Linked DNA regions of Bombyx mori. The protein of the gene in region 1 interacts with the protein of each later gene in a biochemical or structural test. Links are inferred from orthologs where the notes say so. Each region holds a gene or a part of one and is shown on either strand. Other genes may lie near its edges.

What was found. The genes of interacting proteins can lie anywhere in the genome.
Region 2: of the proteins of polyubiquitin-A (region 1) and ubiquitin-conjugating enzyme E2 S, one has a biochemical effect on the other in vitro, tested with the Homo sapiens proteins (10 studies listed by BioGRID, with this or other methods). The link is inferred for Bombyx mori from reciprocal best matches to the Homo sapiens genes UBC and UBE2S.
Region 3: the proteins of polyubiquitin-A (region 1) and E3 ubiquitin-protein ligase AMFR form a complex in vitro, tested with the Homo sapiens proteins (10 studies listed by BioGRID, with this or other methods). The link is inferred for Bombyx mori from reciprocal best matches to the Homo sapiens genes UBC and AMFR.

Annotation. Positions count from the first base shown.
Region 1 is NC_085127.1:9,713,435-9,717,034, reverse strand, and holds the start of polyubiquitin-A, read left to right. Parts: upstream 1-982; 5' UTR 983-1,113; intron 1,114-1,372; 5' UTR 1,373-1,380; coding exon 1,381-3,600.
Region 2 is NC_085116.1:176,133-180,652, reverse strand, and holds ubiquitin-conjugating enzyme E2 S, read right to left. Parts: upstream 2,982-4,520; 5' UTR 2,847-2,981; exon of another isoform or gene 2,724-2,846; 5' UTR 2,657-2,723; coding exon 2,509-2,656; intron 1,026-2,508; coding exon 556-1,025; 3' UTR 111-555; downstream 1-110. UniProt on the Homo sapiens protein: Accepts ubiquitin from the E1 complex and catalyzes its covalent attachment to other proteins. Catalyzes 'Lys-11'-linked polyubiquitination.
Region 3 is NC_085125.1:14,695,745-14,700,264, reverse strand, and holds the start of E3 ubiquitin-protein ligase AMFR, read left to right. Parts: upstream 1-1,417; 5' UTR 1,418-1,612; coding exon 1,613-1,909; intron 1,910-1,972; exon of another isoform or gene 1,973-2,213; intron 2,214-3,308; exon of another isoform or gene 3,309-3,591; intron 3,592-4,127; exon of another isoform or gene 4,128-4,231; intron 4,232-4,405; exon of another isoform or gene 4,406-4,520. UniProt on the Homo sapiens protein: E3 ubiquitin-protein ligase that mediates the polyubiquitination of lysine and cysteine residues on target proteins, such as CD3D, CYP3A4, CFTR, INSIG1, SOAT2/ACAT2 and APOB for proteasomal degradation.

The DNA of each region.
Region 1 (3,600 bases):
TCGATCAGTACTTACCGTCATATGGGCCATTGGCTATTGTATCTATTACGAAAAAAAACCACAAATACTTAAGATTAAAAGTGTTTGAAAAAACTCTAGCATTTTTTATGTGTTAATTCGAAAGTATTCTTGCCTAGCTTATTTATTCTGATGAACTGCTGCTACAATCAACGCCCTATAGGTGAACAAAATGTAATCGTTCAAAGCTCTGCCATCATTTCGTTCAGCAATTCACCATCTTCTGCTCCCCACTCCGAACGAGGAGCACTGCTGCTTGAGATACAGGTTTCATCACCTAATTCAAGCACAGATGCAAATTAAGACTGTCTTTCTACTTCTATGCTAACAATAAATAAATAAGTAATAAAAAAATGAGTATCGCCGGCAACCAGCTGTTCTTCTAGCTCTAACTTTTCTATTATTCTCATTTACAACTCCTACAAGCTGATTGAATTTTCACCGCACTCGCACATATCAGCTGTACGTTTTCACCAAGCCTTTTGGTGGGCTAATCGATATATTAGAGATAAAAACTTGTTTAAGCCTTTGCATAAGTTTTACTATTACTTCTTAAGTGAAAATAAATTTATGTGTCCTAAAGTACATATTAATTTATGATAGATATTTTTCAAAACATAAAACAATCGTCAAAGCTTAAAAACTGTTTGAATACGTATAGCAACATTCCGCCATATTGCTCAGAGTGATTTCTTTCAGGCAACGACTTCCTAAAATAGTGATCGAGAATAATCCTAAAATACAAGCCTGAAGGGAATACATGGAATTTTTAATTTATTATATTATTCATTAAATTAACTCAACTCATCTCGTCTCGTCTCGTCTCATCTCATTTCATTCATTTCATTTCATTTCACACCATGTTTCATATTAATCAACTTTATTTCATTTCATAATATCTTTTTTCATATAAAAAGTTTTCATTATAATTAAAATAAGACTTGACCTAAAAGTCTTAGTTACCAGGTCATAAAATTCTTTATTCTGCTTTCAAGAGTCAAGTTGAATTTCATTCATTCGTGAAAGAGCTACCTAGTTGCACGACGTGTCCTACAATTTGTGATAATTTTAATAATTTTTGTGAATTCCAAAAAGGTAGGAAATATTTCAATTTTTCAAAAATATCACAACTCTACTGCATGAAATAATTATTGTCAACAAGAAAAGTTTGAAAATCAAGTTTGTCATTTGTACACACAAAAAAATCTGAAACAATGACGATGTAATTTATGATCGTCGCCATTTTGTGATGACTAAAAGTCTTTGTTCTTTTGTTTTGTTCGTCAATCCATTTAATACTCCGAAATAGGGAATTCATCCGTCAATCTTCATTAAAGTTCCTTCTTTGTTCTAGAAACCACCATGCAGATTTTTGTAAAAACTCTCACTGGTAAAACCATAACATTAGAAGTCGAAGCATCCGACACCATAGAAAATGTAAAAGCAAAAATTCAAGACAAAGAGGGCATTCCTCCAGATCAGCAGCGACTGATTTTCGCTGGGAAACAACTTGAAGACGGACGGACATTATCCGATTACAATATTCAAAAAGAATCTACTCTCCATTTGGTATTACGTCTGAGAGGTGGAATGCAGATCTTTGTGAAAACACTTACCGGTAAAACCATCACACTAGAAGTTGAAGCATCTGACACCATTGAGAATGTGAAAGCCAAGATTCAGGACAAAGAGGGAATTCCCCCAGATCAGCAGCGATTGATCTTTGCGGGCAAACAGCTTGAAGATGGCCGTACATTATCTGACTACAACATCCAGAAAGAATCTACTCTGCATTTGGTGTTACGTCTCAGAGGTGGCATGCAGATCTTTGTGAAAACACTTACCGGTAAAACCATCACACTAGAAGTTGAAGCATCTGACACCATTGAGAATGTGAAAGCAAAGATTCAGGACAAAGAGGGAATTCCTCCGGATCAGCAGCGGTTGATCTTTGCGGGCAAACAGCTTGAAGATGGCCGTACACTATCCGACTACAACATCCAGAAAGAATCTACTCTGCACTTGGTTTTGAGACTGCGTGGTGGCATGCAGATCTTTGTGAAAACACTTACCGGTAAAACCATCACACTAGAAGTTGAAGCATCTGACACCATCGAAAATGTGAAAGCCAAGATTCAGGACAAAGAGGGAATTCCCCCAGATCAGCAGCGATTGATCTTTGCGGGCAAACAGCTTGAAGATGGTCGTACACTATCTGACTACAACATCCAGAAAGAATCTACTCTGCATTTGGTATTACGTCTCAGAGGTGGCATGCAGATCTTTGTGAAAACACTTACCGGTAAAACCATCACATTGGAAGTTGAAGCATCTGACACCATCGAAAATGTGAAAGCCAAGATTCAGGACAAAGAGGGAATTCCCCCAGATCAGCAGCGATTGATTTTTGCTGGCAAACAGCTTGAAGATGGTCGTACATTATCTGACTACAACATCCAGAAAGAATCTACTCTGCATTTGGTGTTACGTCTCAGAGGTGGCATGCAAATCTTTGTGAAAACACTTACCGGTAAAACCATCACACTAGAAGTTGAAGCATCTGACACCATTGAAAATGTGAAAGCAAAGATTCAGGACAAAGAGGGAATTCCCCCAGATCAGCAGCGATTGATTTTTGCGGGCAAACAGCTTGAAGATGGCCGTACATTATCTGACTACAACATCCAGAAAGAATCTACTCTGCATTTGGTGTTACGTCTCAGAGGTGGAATGCAGATTTTTGTGAAAACACTTACCGGTAAAACCATCACATTGGAAGTTGAAGCATCTGACACCATCGAAAATGTGAAAGCCAAGATTCAGGACAAAGAGGGAATTCCCCCAGATCAGCAGCGATTGATTTTTGCTGGCAAACAGCTTGAAGATGGTCGTACATTATCTGACTACAACATCCAGAAAGAATCTACTCTGCATTTGGTTTTGAGACTGCGTGGTGGCATGCAAATCTTTGTGAAAACACTTACCGGTAAAACCATCACACTAGAAGTTGAAGCATCTGACACCATAGAAAATGTGAAAGCCAAGATTCAGGACAAAGAGGGAATTCCCCCAGATCAGCAGCGATTGATTTTTGCGGGCAAACAGCTTGAAGATGGTCGTACATTATCTGACTACAACATCCAGAAAGAATCTACTCTGCATTTGGTGCTACGTCTCAGAGGTGGAATGCAGATTTTTGTGAAAACACTTACCGGTAAAACCATCACATTGGAAGTTGAAGCATCTGACACCATCGAAAATGTGAAAGCCAAGATTCAGGACAAAGAGGGAATTCCCCCAGATCAGCAGCGATTGATTTTTGCGGGCAAACAGCTTGAAGATGGTCGTACATTATCTGACTACAACATCCAGAAAGAATCTACTCTGCATTTGGTTTTGAGACTGCGTGGTGGCATGCAGATCTTTGTGAAAACACTTACCGGTAAAACCATCACACTAGAAGTTGAAGCATCTGACACCATTGAGAATGTGAAAGCCAAGATTCAGGATAAAGAGGGAATTCCCCCAGATCAGCAGCGATTGATCTTTGCGGGCAAACAGCTTGAAGATGGTCGTACACTA
Region 2 (4,520 bases), on another chromosome or scaffold:
TGACGTCACACCACTACACCGGACGATTACGGTGTACTCGGTACTCAATATCCGAACAGCATAAAATTTGGTGTTTTTACTGTTTGAATAATTATGAATTAAAACACGCATTTTTGTACGCACAGTTATTAATATATTATTCTATTTTAATTCAATACAATATTACAAATCTAGGAATTAAATCTATGGAAACGTATTTTAATAGCGATATTGTGAATTTATATTCCGAGCGTCACGTGCAGCAGAGCGCTCTGTCCAGCCGCGCCACTCGCAGCTCAGCTCCAGCCGCACGGAGGATTCTAACTCAATTAACTTGGGGTAAGATTTTATTTAGTGACTCGACGTTCGCGAGGGAAGAGCTTCGGGAAGGAGATGGGGGAAGGGCAGCAGACTGTCCAGCGCACACTCAACGCAAGGATTTCAGTTTTTGCAGATACACATTAAATTATTAAAAAGTTCACCTACTACTTAAAGTTCAATTTTGCAAATATCTTAAAGTTCGCTCGTGTTGGACGAGTCCATTTGCGTGGTCTGATCGTTTGATCTCGGGACGGCTCATAACCGCTTCAGGATGCGGCGCTTGTCTGCGCGGGGGGGAGGCGCGGGGCGGCGCTTGGCGGGCGGCGCGGGCGCGTGCGCGGGCGCGGCGGCGGGCGCGTGCGCGGGCGCGGCGGCGGGCGCGGGGGCGGGGGCGCGGCTGCGAGTCGCGTGGATGTCGGTGAGCAGCTTGGCGCGCGCGAAGTAGTCGTCGTAGCGGTCGCGCAGTAGGGCGGCGGCCTCCGCGTTGAGTGCCGAGTCAGGGTTGGGCGCGATGAGCAGACAGCGCAGAGCGAGGAGCGCGTGCCGGAGCCCGAGCTCGGGGCGCCAGTCGCGTGCGAGCGTGTTGACGCAGACCTCGCCAGTCTCGGCGGCGACGTTGGGGTGGAAGACGCGGGTGACGAAGTATGCCCGCGGTGCGCTGGCGGGGAACTCGCGTCCGAGCACGAGTCGCACGCGGAACACGCCCCCTTCATACGGCGTCTCCGCTGAAATCATCAACTTTTGCATTAATTTAGTTGATACCCTTGAATCTGGTTTTTACTGGTGGTAGGACCTTATGTGAGTTCGCACGGGTAGATACCACCACCGCGCCTGTTTCTGCCGTGAAGCAGTAATGCGTTTTGACTTGAAGGGTGGGGCAGCCATTGTAACTATACTGAGACCTTACAACTTATATCTCAAGGTGGGTGGCGCATTTACATTGTAAATGTCTATGGGCTCCAGTAACTACTTAACACCAGGTGGGCTGTGAGCTCGTCCATGCATCAAAGCAATAAAAAAAATATTAAACCTCTGGCCATACTAAAATCTCATTTTACTTAACACAGCTTACAGCTTACAGCTTTAGATATAACAACTATATACAAAAATGCTCAAAAATATTTTGACACATTAATTCAATTAGAAAAAAAAAAGCATAAAAATCATACACATAAAAAAATGTGTATATGTATAATTTTTCCCTACTTATTGGCTAGTATCCTGTGGAGATATTCCAGCTTCTCGTGAACAGATAGGCGAGCTCACAGGCTCAACCTGAGAGAATTTGCTAGCACTAGACCTAGCAAGAACAGTGCTTTGAAACATTTACCACCAGATCAGAATTGCGACCTACTGAGAAGATCCAGCAAGATACTCAGTGGGCTGTGTATGGGTTAGTCGTAATCAACCGAGGAGGACTGGTGCTTGAGAGGCCTAAAAACACCTGACTTTCTCATTTTCTCTATCATTCTATAACTGCACAACTACTAAATATGTCGTCCTAAAACTAAACTTCTTTGGGATGATTTTGTTTTTCTCCAATAAAGGTAAGATGTAACATGACAACAGCTTTTTGAAAACTTTGAACATAACTGGCAGTGGTATATATTGAGAATTGGTTCACCTATCTGTGGCTTATATTGTGTGGTGTTCATTATGAAGGTATTTATTTATTGTTTAGTTTTAAAGAAAGTCCCATATGCAAAAAGAACACATCATACATTTCTTAAAATTATGACTTTTAGATAGTGTCAGATTCTCCTATTCCTCATCTCTTCAGAGGTCTAAATTATAAGTTAAACAAAGTTCTGACAATGTAATATCTGCAGCTGTTAATATATCTTTAGAAAGACCATGACTTCAAAGGACTCCATAATTATTGAATATCTAAAAGACGGGAGATGCAGATTGAAAAAAAATCATGTCCAAATTTTCCATACAAAATTGAGACATTGCAAGATATAAGTAATGACATTCAAAACAAAATAAATATCAAGCAGATAGCAAAAAATCGGTATAAATTGTAACTGTGACGTTGAATATTGAGATGTACTTCAATGTAACAAATCCAGACATTGCCATTGGACCATTTACCTTTCCACCTCTGATTTATTACATGACATGAGAAAGTAGATATGCCTTTTGTTTAACGAAATGTCACACCGGTTCTGGAGGTGAGGGCAGTATCATATTTGAATAGATTCTTACCGGGACCATCGATAAGCGCGACTATGTCAGATATGTCGTCGTCTCGCAGCTGCAGTTTGATGCCCGGCGGAGGATTAGCCGCCAGCTGTCGGAGTTCGCGTGCCACGCCACGCAACGCTTGAGGACATACGTTTTCCACGTTCGACATGCTTCTGCTTCTCCTTCTTTATGTCAGGCGCTCATAGCATTTGCTTGCGTTATTATCACCTTTTACACTAAAACGAAATGTCACTAAGTTTTTAGAATTTTTCTATTTGTTTTGAGAAGGAATTTCGAAATATTAATCTCTTTCTACAACAGAGCATGCAATTTTTATTATTCAGAAAAATGTTCACTACTTATCAAATTTGATTTCGAGTTGATCTATCAAAATTTTCAAAATTCAAAACATAAAACTGCATTTTTTTTATTAGCCTGCCCAATTAGGCAAAGGTAGCTTTAACTATTCCTATAACATTCATTCCACAATGCGCTAAAATTTTTAATGGGTCGTCACACTGTGTTCTTAATTAAAACTAAATATTTACGTATAAAATTCCATATATTAAATCACAGATGTGATGCTAATTTATCTTACTGTTCCTTACTACCACATACTATAGAGATATTATGACATAAGTGAAAGGTGCTATAAATACTAAGCTACCTATGTTCAATAATCTTGACCGATCTTACTTTTTGTTACTATATCTTTGGGGAATATTTTTATTTATTTATTTATCTAATTTGCAAGTTCGCAAAATTGGGAAATAAATTAAAAATCGCTGATTTGTACTAATTATCTACATGAACATTTTATAAATCGAAACTGGCAACAATTAATTGTTTCATCGACTTTTTAGAGAGAGGGCAAAATATGTGAATTGATTTATTTTGTTAATTTATCGTTCATTCAGATGTAATGGTCCTTAACTTTCCTAATGGTGGCTTACTTATGATTTAATATCAGTTGAAGTACATGTAGAAATGCGTGAAATGAAACAAAATCGCTAAACGTAGATTCGCGGCAACTTCCAAAAACTCCATTGAGCTCAGTAAATTCTGAAAGGTGATTTCAATTCATCTCAATGGACACTTAAGGGTGTTATATCTCACTTCAATTAATATTTTTCATTCGCTCACTTCCTTTATAATTATATTCCTTAATCATGTTTATTTTCTATTATCTAATACTAGCGACCCGCCCTCGCTTCGCTTCGGAAACATTAAAACACACATGAAACCAAAAAAATAAATAAAAAATAAAATAAAAAAGTAGCCTATGTTCATCAGGGACAATGTCGGCTTCTAATGGAAAAAGAATTTTTCAAATCGGTCCAGTAGTTTCGGAGCCTATTCGAAACAAACAAACAAACAAATCTTTCCTCTTTATAATATTAGTATAGATTTTCTTCGACTTCACGTGTGGTAGACACATTTGAAACTCAACGTCTTTTCACAATTTTTTTTTTATTGTAGTTTTATTATTTCCGGCGCTACGTACAGGTAATTTACAGTTGTAGTTCTCATGGATGACTTAGTCTTCTCTTAGACGTTAGAAGTAATCGTTAGTGTTCGTGATTAAGTCATAAAGTACGGTAGTCTAATTATTGCCAGAGTATGTTACATTTAACTTTTAGCAAAATAAATTTTAATATGACTTTTCTAACAAACCATTTGGTCGTGTGGGTATTTTATTTGTTCAGAGGCGAATCCAACAAACTCAAAAGTACATTCCTTATCTAGGAACGTCCACATCAGAGTTTTGTTTTGTGCACGGGGGTATTAACAGGTCTCCTTAATTTTGTGTCCCTAGACACATAGATATTTAATACCTACACATCTCATATTGTGTTTCTGATTTTGTTTTTGTTAGGAAGAATTACTTTTTTACAAGGGATTGTATGACCTGAATATTAAGACCAATTCCTTCAGGTTTAAACGTGTAACAACGGTGGCTTATTAAATGTTTAGTATCTGTGAAAGTGCACAAATGTGGGAAAATGAAACAAAGCCGCTGGATGTACCTGCTT
Region 3 (4,520 bases), on another chromosome or scaffold:
TACAAAACCATATTTTTTTTATAACTTTAAATTGACACATTTGAATAAATAATTACATAATTTATAATTTTAAAACCGAAGTGGAAATATGAATTCAATAAACTTTTGAAAACAAATGTACATTTACAAAACCCTTTGTTTATTTTGCAGTTGTCAAAAACATAGATAATAATACACTTTTTTTTATTGCTCGATTCTCTTCTTTGTCGAATGACTCTGCCAATGTCAGGTAGATAAAATAAGTGATATCAGTACACTTATTGAGTCAAAAATGTAAATTTCAGTACAGTTCAAATTTCAAATGTACGCTGTAATATCATTATTAAATCAATATTTCTTATCATTCTTTTTTCGGATAATTTCATATTATTTGCCTATAAAGTCCATAAAACACTTGTTATATAAAAAAGGAACGGAGTAAAATGAAATTCAGTTGGTTTTTAATTGTAATCAGTTTTAATTAAAGGACACGAAATAGCATTTCACTAAAATTGTGAGAATTTACTGAAACTTAAATGTATATAATATATGTAGTTATTGAAAGAGTTGCAGAATTCCCGTCCAGTTTTTTTACTTCATTAAAAGTGCCATTTTACACAAACTGAACTATTATCCAATAATAGTTATTCAACTTTTGTAGTAGTATTTGTACTTTTTATGAACAAAAAATTGGAAGAAAACAAAATTCAAAATAATTTCTTTCTTACGGCTTGGTGGTTGGAACTTAAAACTTCGTTTGTCGGGTCAGTTAGGTTTTCTATTTTCCGTAGTTATTGGTTTCTTGAAAATATCTTACTGTTGTAATTTTAACATTTTAGACACTTTTTACGACTATTACACATTGCTTTATATTTGTAGTTTTCCAATTACAGAGCATAATGCGACTCAGTGACGCACAATGCCGAATTATGCTGAAGCTTAATTGGAACGTGAATTAGTTTTCAAATACATCAGCAGAGTGCGCTAAGTTAGCACAGTTTTAATTAACATTGATTATTTCTAAGAAACTACGACGAAACGAAAGCCTTACAATTTTTTTCAACATTAAATAATATTACTAACGATAATATAAACAAAATTTCGATCAATGCCAACTTAAAGAAAAAACACTTGTCAATTTTCTGTCACTGAGTCGGTATCGATTGCGAGTATCACGCGAGAGCAGTACTTTTGAGAGTGCTCGATTGTGCGAAGCGTTGCTGTAGTTGGAACATTCAACGTTGAGCATAATGCGCTCTTGTGCTGTAATTGGAAAACTACCATAGTAGTCTATGCGGCATCATGCGTAAAGATCTAATAATAGTCTCCCCAGACCATGGAGTTAATAAATACCTACTAACTCTATGCCCCAGACCGATAGTGAATATATCAGTGGTGACATCTCTATTCACTATCATATTCATAGATTAAAGACTTTATATTGTTATCTCTCTTGAAGTCTGTGTGTAGTGTCGACTATTGAGCTGTCTTATTTACACGTAATATTTATTTTGATTTTGGTACACTAAAATAAATTTTCGGCGGTGATACTCATTATCAAATGTCGTTGAGATCTAAGCTATGTTGTGGCGCGAGTGATAAATTACCACAATAGTAGAAAAAAGTAACAAATATGCCCGGGACTTTAGTAGACAGGCTGCCCTTGCCGAATCTCAAGGTTTACACAGCGGGAAGTGTTTTACTTCTTTCAATAGCTGTCTATCATGCCACGATTGTGACTAGTGATCCAAACTGGCGCGCCAATATCACTCTACAGCGTCAGGAAGCATTGGCTGAGCCTGATGGAGAGGCGCAGCTGGTAGACCAAGCTGAAGTAATGCCGGCGCTAAACCTGAATGCCACCAGGAACTTGAACGAGCGCATGGTGGTAATAATAACCTTCATGATGCAGGAACCGCTTTGTATGTGGGTAAGTAATTCAAAATAGAAATTTATTCGGAAAAAAACCTCATTAAATAATAATAAAAAATACTCAAATTGTTAAAAGATTTATGAACAGTAAAAAAACGTATAATAAAATTTAGAAGAGAGTAGTTTTTAGTTCATTAATAAATAACTCCATAAAATATTAAAATCTGTCTAAAGATGGTTGACTCTGCTTTTATGTTTGACAGGCATTACTCAAAATTATTTACTTCAAACTAGCTGCTTACTAGTTTGCTTATGCTGTAATTTTGCTTTTTAATTGTCAAAGTAACAACAGTTGGAAAGTTCTGGAACAAAAGTAAAATACTAGTAAATGACTCATTACTTAAATCTACGCCAGGTAGTGATCAAGTGTCTTGTTGAGAAGGTGCACACTTGGCCCACCTAGAGAGTTACTTGTTTTCTTGTTTAAAGCTACTGAAAAAAACTAAAAATACCATTTGTTTTGTAAATGTGATTTTCTTATAGTTGGGTAAAGTCATCTAATATGAATGCAGAAGAAGAAAATTAACAATGTAAAAACATTTGCTGAAGGACATGGTGTCCGTTAAAATAGATAAATTGAAAGCTTATTTTCCTGCCTCCTTATTATAAAACTCGTTAAAATTATCAAATTCATTCAGATTAAGGGACAATTCCTTTGCTTAATGAATTTGATAATCAGATAGTAAGTAGAGTTAATTCAAGTTGTGCACTTTTAGTCAATCTACAAACAATCTACAGCTCTACAATTTACTGCACAGGTAATAAGTGATTATTTGAGATCATGGATGTCACTGTGTCAATGCTGCCTTCAACTTTGATACATGGAGTTGAAGTCTAAATGGGGTTCTATAACTAATGCACGCTAAAAGAAAAAAGTAGAAAAATTAAAATTCTGTATTGTTTAAAAGTAATCTGGATGCCATTCATAAACATGTAGATTTCATGGACACTTCCTAACTTAATTACCTAATTTGCATTTGGAAAAAAATAGTGTGCTTATGATGTCATGGGGTGCCAATGTAGTTCCATTTTTTTATTTATTTATTTAATTTATTTATTTAAATAAGCACTGCCACATCACAAACATCTAACATTGAAAATAAATTTAAACAATTTAATTTATGGCCTGATGCATGTGACAACAATGGCGTACATAGCATTGGCAATTCATCGGCTCGAATCGGCATCGGCATCGGTTCCATGGTAATGTCTATTTTCATTGCCTTTGGGGTCTTAAAAACGGGCCACTTTGTGACTGTATAGAGACCATGAGGGCCAGAGCCTTCTTGCCATCTTGTACAGACAGAACTGTACAAGTTTGGCAACAATGATGTGGGGTCAACTCTGTTTCAGCAAGTCCAAGTGAAGAGTTATTGTGTGCTTGAGCAAAGCATTACCTATTCATAGATGTGTTGGTTGTAGATTTCAATGCTCATCGCCAAGAGTGAATGTAATCCATAATCACCAGTTTTACAAGTCCAGTCTTTCACCACTAAGTTAGTCTAATGAGAGCTTAAGTGTCAGAGCGAGTAGGAAGGCATCTTGATTTATGTCTTTGCCTCCAACTCGGGTTTGAACTTCAAAGGGGCATTACCATCCAATGATCCTGGTCTGTTAGCTGCCTTTGATCTGTATGATTTCTGTCTGCTGAATGAATAGAATCACATCCCCAAAGTAGTGCTAAAAATGATAAATAAAAAGATAAATATGTCAACAAATAAATGATCATTCGTTTTTTTGTTACTATCTGCGATGGGCAGACTAGTTTGTTACACAAATGGTTATTGGCCTCAAGACATAGCTCTCTTGCTCGTCAAATTGGGAATCATAACTTTCTGTAGAAATAAACAGAGATACTCCTTCGTAGGAGTTCACAACATACCCATCCCTATAATTGTTTGAAAAAAAACAAACATTTGTTGAAACAGTTGATGGCCGTTTGTCAGTAACTTTCACGCAATTACCGTTCAAAATTGTAGTCTATAAAGTTTCAATTCCGTCGAATGTATAATGATCGAATTCAGACAAGGTTAAATAGTTACATATACAAAAACATCGGACGTACTCGGAGTTTTTGTTTCTAATCTTAAATTTATTTTGCTAAACTCATTCCTATACTCCATATTGCATTTCAAGAGATCATTTTTGTCACGTACTATCTATCACTTGACTAAAATTCTGTCTCGCTGTGACCGCGAGAACATTGCAACACTTACTTATTGTGACGTAAGGAACGGTCGTAGGGGTTTAGCAGTACTATTAGTATTACTGATGTCCAACAGCTCTGCATGGAAAATAAATCATTTTAAATATTAACCAACTATGTAAAATTACCTAATTATTCTAATATTGACACGGCCGCGCAGCGTAAACAACTCCGCTCACACACAAACACAAATTCCCGCCTACACACAAACATGTGAAGAAGGAACCAAATGAATATTATTTGATCACCTTCAATAAAACATACGTATGATATATGTAAGTTGTTTACCTCGAATCACAACTTCCTCTAAGGTTCAAGAAGTTCAACAAACTTAAACAATCACACACCTACTCTCAGTACAATTTATATATTATGTATAACAATATGACAATGTACAGATCCT